Linked DNA regions of Saccharomyces cerevisiae S288C. The gene in region 2 interacts genetically with the main gene of each other region. Each region holds a gene or a part of one and is shown on either strand. Other genes may lie near its edges.

Region 1 (3,759 bases), on a different chromosome or scaffold from region 2:
CGCCCTTTTCCTTCGATATGTTATTGATAGCTTCAAAGTCCTCAGTAGACAAAGTAAATATTTTCCTGTTCGTTTTGATTCGATCGGGATTCACAGATTTTGGCAAGACAACATAACCTCTTTGGACGTGCCAGCTAATAACAACGTGTCCGGGTTGAACGTTATTTTTCTTCGCAATTTCAAGGATAACCGGTTCCTTCAATAGTGGAGCATCGGTACTACCTAACGGAGAATAAGCTTCAACCACAATGCCTTTACTTTTACAAAAATTAATCAATTCGTCTTGAGGTAGTAATGGATGTATTTCGACTTGGTTAGCAGCTGGCGTAAGCTTATTACCTTGAGATGCTAATAGATCTTTCAGGTTATTTATAGAAAAGTTGGAGACTCCAACGGCCTTAGTTTTACCAGTCTTTGGTAGTTCCTGCATTAATTCCCAGGTTTTGATGAAATTCCAATTGGTGATATCCACTGCACGAGAACCATCCTTCTTTGTTGGCACACTCAAGATGTCTTCATTTTTGATGTAGGCTGGATCTAATCTGGCAGGCCAATGCATCAAATATAAGTCTACGTAGTCCAATCCTAACCTCTTTAGTGATTGATCCAGCGCTACTTCAGGTTCGTGGTGTTGTGTACACCATAACTTTGTAGTAACAAAGATTTCTTCCCGAGGAACACCTGAATCCTTGATGGCTTGACCGACTTGGTCTTCATTACGGTAAATAGCAGCAGTATCAATGTGTCGGTAGCCATCTTTCAAAGCGGTTAAAACAGCCTTATAAGCATCGTTCTCTTTCGACTGCCACGTACCTAAACCTATTTGAGGGATTTGGGCTCCAGTATTTAGAGAAAGGATTTTCGTAGAATCATGTAAAGTAGCAGGCATTTTTCTATCTTAATTTAGTAATGAGAGCTGTCCAAATTTTAGCTTGCTAAGATGCACCTATTAAGCTCTCATCCTGAATCAAGTCATTAGAATGTCTTGATTCTCCCGGTTTTATACGCCCAGTAAAGCAATTCTTTACTGCCGTAGTCTTTTCCTGAAAGCTCGGTTTCTACTCTAGGGAATTAAGGAGAGCAGCGGTGTGCGATTCGTCACACGGGTGAATGCCTGATAGGCATATTATTAAGCCGTGTTTGCAATCTGCGTGCTAGATTGATTCTACCCCTTTCTGAGAAGGCGAAATGACCTTGCTATGACAATGAGGGAGAAAAGACCGCCCTTCCTTGTTCTTCCCCGGAATAGTCTGCCCCGATTGTTCGCCGGTGTTATAACTTACAATTCTTATACACTCCATAGGAAGTTTGTTGACAAGAGTTAAGTTTCAAATATCTAAAGCCAGGAAGTATGATCACCCAAGCATATCCATTGCAATATGTAAGACATTCAAGCGGATTTCTGGGACTTTAGAAAGTGAAATTTAAAAAAAAAAAAATTTAACAGAGGTCATACTTCCAAAAAAAAAAAAATGTAGAACTGGGCGAAATATCATCAGCTCATTCACTCTAATGCGGCCCTTCTGTAACCTCGAGCAAAGAGCCCAAATAACTTCATCTCTTCTCTCTTACGAACTGAAATATTCTCATGTTACCTATTGAGTAGTTGCGGGGACATTGGCGCGCGCAGAAAGAGTGAAAAATTTTATAGTGGAATATAGAAATTGAGATGAGATGAGATACTAAGACTAAAAATAATAGTAAAAAGAAGTTAAAACAGATTTAGAGATTCAAACTCCGTTATTTTTAGAAGGTCATGTCCTTGGAAGATAAATTTGATTCATTGTCTGTGTCGCAAGGTGCCTCGGACCATATTAATAATCAGCTCTTAGAGAAGTATAGTCACAAAATAAAAACTGATGAATTATCATTCAGCAGAGCGAAAACATCAAAGGATAAAGCAAATAGGGCGACTGTGGAAAATGTCTTAGATCCGAGAACTATGAGATTTTTGAAGTCTATGGTCACCAGAGGTGTGATTGCAGATTTGAACGGTTGCTTAAGTACTGGGAAAGAAGCTAATGTTTACCACGCTTTTGCAGGTACCGGTAAGGCACCCGTAATAGATGAGGAAACAGGCCAGTATGAAGTTTTAGAGACAGACGGATCCCGTGCAGAATATGCCATTAAGATTTATAAGACCTCTATCCTAGTCTTCAAAGATCGTGAAAGATATGTTGATGGTGAATTTAGATTTAGAAATTCCAGATCTCAACATAATCCAAGGAAAATGATTAAAATTTGGGCTGAAAAGGAATTTAGGAACCTGAAAAGAATTTATCAAAGTGGCGTCATTCCAGCTCCTAAGCCAATAGAAGTTAAGAACAACGTCTTAGTTATGGAATTTTTAAGCCGAGGTAATGGATTTGCCTCACCTAAATTAAAAGATTATCCGTACAAGAATCGTGATGAAATTTTCCATTATTATCACACAATGGTGGCATATATGAGATTGCTGTACCAAGTTTGTCGCCTGGTTCATGCCGATTTGTCAGAGTATAACACCATAGTTCATGATGATAAACTATATATGATCGATGTTTCCCAAAGTGTGGAACCTGAACATCCAATGAGTTTAGATTTTTTAAGGATGGATATCAAAAACGTTAACCTTTATTTCGAGAAGATGGGTATAAGTATTTTCCCTGAAAGGGTTATTTTTCAATTTGTCATATCAGAAACTTTGGAGAAATTTAAAGGTGATTATAACAATATTAGCGCCTTGGTTGCATACATTGCTAGTAATCTACCAATAAAATCTACAGAACAAGATGAGGCAGAAGATGAAATATTCAGATCGCTGCATTTAGTTAGATCATTGGGTGGATTAGAGGAAAGAGATTTTGATAGGTATACTGATGGTAAGTTTGACTTACTGAAAAGCTTGATTGCCCATGATAATGAACGCAATTTTGCTGCTTCTGAGCAATTTGAATTTGATAACGCTGACCACGAATGTAGTTCTGGCACAGAGGAATTCTCAGATGATGAAGAAGACGGCTCAAGCGGATCTGAAGAAGATGACGAGGAGGAGGGCGAGTACTATGACGATGATGAACCAAAAGTTTTAAAGGGGAAGAAACATGAGGACAAGGATTTAAAAAAATTGCGCAAGCAGGAAGCTAAAGATGCAAAAAGAGAAAAAAGGAAAACAAAAGTCAAGAAGCACATCAAGAAAAAATTGGTGAAAAAAACGAAATCAAAGAAATAATGCGGCCCTGTGAAAATACATTTGGGAATCGTTGTTTGGAGTCGAAGAACAGAAAGTAGGTCAGCAATTTAACGAAGAAAGTTCAAGACTAAAAGTGTAATATCAGTATCAAAAGTTTGGTACTTTTCATACAAGTGCAATAAATATTAAAATAAACAATAGCCTTATTTAGTGGTCTTGATTTTTAGTGAAATCAATCCCAATAACTAAAAACAGCAAAAAAGGCAGGCATCACATTGAACCGCCACCTTGATGTTGGCCAACTAAACCTGCCATTTCCAGTAAGGCACGGTCTTCTCCCAAGCTTCTCAGGTTAATTTGCTGTCTTCTTTTAGATTCTGCTTCTTCCCATTCCAACTGTTTGATTTGCTCTTCTAGTTCTTTCTCACCACCACAGCCCCATACCTCAACATCTTGAATCAAAAAATGCAATTCATAAGGGGAATTTTCCTCCTTTCTTTCCATCGACAATAAACCAGGGTCTAATGAACCTCCGTAACCAGTATTTCTAAACACAGCAAATTCTAATGTGCTGTCAAAAGTAAGCG
Region 2 (3,759 bases):
GTTCAAAATGGTAGAAAAGCAATTTATTAATGGACTGAAAAATGGAAATGAAATCTTGAAAAAACTAAACAAGGAATTTAGCAATGTTGATGAACTGATGGACGATGTACAAGATCAAATTGCGTATCAAAATGAAATTAACGAGACATTATCTAGAAGCTTAGTCGGAACAAGCAATTATGAAGACGATCTAGATAAGGAATTGGATGCTCTAGAAAGTGAACTCAATCCAGAGAAGATGAATAACGCAAAAGTAGCTAACATGCCATCAACAGAAGGTTTGCCATCATTGCCTCAAGGAGAACAAACCGAGCAAAAAGAAAGAGAGGAATTCGCGACGGAGGAGAGATCAGACACTAAGGAACCTTTAGCATTACTATCCTGAATGTCTGTATGTAGCTTCAAAATTAAAAATAAAGGGAATGTAAATAGGTTCCTTCCAGGTTTTTCGTTGATAGAATTTGTTTAGTATTTTCAAAAATAAATACTAAGTTTATATAGTACTTTTATAGCTAAGCCAAGACGTGATAAATAGTCGTTAGAATTTTTATTGTTAAAATGAAGCATCAGCTATCATCTCTTGACTTGTTCCATACTACTAGAAGATTATCATATACGACATAAAAAGATGATATAAAGATTGAGAAAAGTCTAGAGATGTAATGGAAGTTTCTGTCCCAATTATGGCAACTATTAATTTATGTTAACCTTTAAATTTTGCTTGAAATAAAATGATGAATGACAATATATTAAAAGAAAAACAAAATAGAGGAAAAAGTTATAATATTATCGTGTAAAAATATCGATTCCTTAATGTGGATTTCAAGTCCTCGAGGTGAATTTCTCCTATAATCTGAATTCACAGCATCGTAGCCTTCATCAACAGCAAAATTTCTGGGGATAGTGGCTTTTTCTTTATATATTTATCCTGAATCAATGAACTTTCCTAAATTAAAGTTCTTGCACAATTTTCAATGGTCATGCCATGAAATAATACTATTTTGTTAAATGTCGGAGATATTTCAAAAAAAGAATAGGACATGATATTTAGGCCATATATTGAGAGCTACATTAAAAAAGATCCTATTATTAGAGGAAAGTTTCCTGTACGGTTGACCTGAAAAAAGAAATGTTCTTCTATAAAAGATTACATAAAATGTTTAGTCCATAAAACCATAAGTATAGGTCCAGACCATCACAAATAACAGGTTTCGTGGTCTAGTCGGTTATGGCATCTGCTTAACACGCAGAACGTCCCCAGTTCGATCCTGGGCGAAATCATTTTTATCTCAGCCGTTACGGAAAGTTTTTTAACGCCCGTCTGGCGTCCCACCTTTTAGGTAAAGACTCTGAAGTTACCCTCTACCCTCTTGGAATTGCGGCAGTAAGAATAGTTAAAAACATAATTTAGTAAGAAGCAGGATGTATATTTTAATTTATAATAGTGTGATGAACTCCCCTCCTAAATGCAGTACATAGTAAGAATTTCCATGAAAAAGAACAACTCAACTGCGACTGTTTGTTTTATCCTCAGTTTTCAGACTCCTCAATGCAGTTTTTTTCTCAGATTAAACTTTTACCTTTTCATCTATTTAGCCGCCAAGGGAAAATATGCACTACCCGGAATGATGGCGTTAAAAGTGACTTAATCTATAGACATGTCGCGACGCGACGCGTAAAGTTGTATAAACAAGTGAAAGTTTATAAACCTAGGCTCCATCGAAATTGTTGTTAATTGTAAAAAGACCTAAAAGAAGTTTATCCACCTTGTTAGTTTGTATCCGGTCTCAATTTTTACAGGTATATTTGTAAAGAAGCAAGAAATAAAGTGCGAACAAAATGGCTAAAGGTGCTGTTACTAAACTGAAGTTTAACTCACCTATAATATCTACCTCCGATCAGCTGATATCAACAAATGAACTATTAGATCGTTTAAAAGCTTTACATGAGGAATTAGCCTCTCTGGATCAAGACAATACAGATTTAACGGGATTAGATAAATATAGGGACGCACTAGTTAGCAGAAAATTATTAAAACATAAAGACGTGGGGATCCGCGCTTTCACCGCTTGTTGTCTAAGCGATATCCTGAGATTATATGCTCCAGATGCGCCTTATACGGATGCTCAACTAACGGACATTTTCAAGCTGGTGCTCTCACAATTTGAACAATTAGGTGACCAAGAAAACGGCTATCACATCCAACAAACTTATTTGATCACTAAGCTACTAGAATACAGATCAATCGTATTATTAGCCGATTTACCTAGTTCAAACAATTTACTTATCGAACTATTCCATATTTTTTACGATCCTAACAAGAGCTTCCCCGCAAGGCTCTTCAATGTAATAGGCGGTATTCTCGGTGAAGTCATCTCTGAGTTCGATTCTGTTCCCCTAGAAGTACTAAGATTAATTTTTAATAAGTTTTTGACCTATAACCCGAATGAAATTCCTGAAGGTTTGAACGTTACTTCTGACTGTGGCTACGAAGTTAGTCTAATTTTGTGTGATACTTATTCCAATAGAATGAGTAGACATCTAACTAAATACTATTCCGAGATTATTCATGAAGCAACTAATGATGACAATAATTCAAGACTTCTCACTGTGGTAGTGAAATTACATAAACTGGTATTGAGACTTTGGGAAACAGTACCCGAACTGATCAATGCAGTAATCGGATTTATATACCACGAATTATCTTCGGAAAACGAGCTTTTCAGAAAAGAAGCTACAAAATTAATTGGTCAAATACTTACCTCATATTCGGATTTAAATTTTGTTTCTACACATTCCGATACGTTCAAGGCATGGATTTCCAAAATTGCTGATATTAGTCCCGATGTTAGAGTAGAATGGACAGAATCAATTCCTCAAATCATTGCCACGAGAGAAGACATATCCAAAGAACTGAATCAGGCACTGGCAAAAACCTTTATTGATTCTGATCCTCGTGTACGCAGGACTTCTGTTATGATTTTTAATAAAGTTCCCGTTACTGAAATTTGGAAAAATATAACCAATAAAGCCATTTATACATCTTTACTTCATTTGGCCCGAGAAAAACATAAGGAGGTTAGGGAACTCTGCATTAACACTATGGCCAAGTTTTACTCAAATTCATTGAATGAGATCGAAAGGACATACCAAAATAAAGAAATTTGGGAAATCATAGACACCATACCATCCACTTTATACAATCTCTATTATATCAATGATTTAAACATCAATGAACAAGTCGACAGCGTAATTTTCGAATACCTACTACCGTTTGAACCAGATAACGATAAAAGAGTCCACAGACTGCTAACGGTTTTGTCACATTTTGATAAGAAGGCATTCACTTCATTTTTCGCTTTCAATGCAAGACAAATCAAAATATCCTTCGCTATATCCAAATATATTGATTTTAGTAAATTTTTGAACAATCAAGAAAGTATGAGCTCGTCTCAAGGTCCTATTGTAATGAACAAGTACAACCAAACTCTCCAGTGGTTAGCTTCTGGCCTTTCTGACTCTACGAAAGCAATCGACGCCCTCGAAACAATAAAACAATTTAACGACGAAAGAATCTTTTATTTATTAAATGCCTGTGTCACCAACGATATTCCGTTTCTTACTTTTAAAAATTGTTACAATGAATTGGTCAGTAAGTTACAAACGCCAGGACTATTTAAAAAATATAATATATCTACTGGTGCTTCCATTATGCCACGTGATATCGCCAAGGTAATACAAATTTTGCTTTTTAGAGCC

Evidence for each region. Genes that interact genetically often act in the same process or in processes that back each other up.
Region 1: mutations in PDS5 (region 2) and RIO1 together harm fitness more than expected from each alone (negative genetic interaction), as found in Saccharomyces cerevisiae (2 studies listed by BioGRID).

Annotation. Positions count from the first base shown.
Region 1 is NC_001147.6:548,244-552,002, reverse strand, and holds RIO1 (protein kinase RIO1), read left to right. Parts: upstream 1-1,756; coding exon 1,757-3,211; downstream 3,212-3,759. Other genes in the region: glycerol 2-dehydrogenase (NADP(+)) GCY1, read right to left, coding at 1-889; RTC5 (Rtc5p), read right to left, coding at 3,443-3,759. UniProt on the Saccharomyces cerevisiae protein: Required for the final endonucleolytic cleavage at site D converting 20S pre-rRNA into the mature 18S rRNA. Required for the final steps of cytoplasmic maturation of the 40S ribosomal subunit.
Region 2 is NC_001145.3:418,110-421,868, reverse strand, and holds the start of PDS5 (sister chromatid cohesion factor PDS5), read left to right. Parts: upstream 1-1,839; coding exon 1,840-3,759. Other genes in the region: ESCRT-III subunit protein VPS20, read left to right, coding at 1-385. UniProt on the Saccharomyces cerevisiae protein: Essential for the establishment and maintenance of sister chromatid cohesion at centromere proximal and distal regions during S phase. Also required for chromosomal condensation.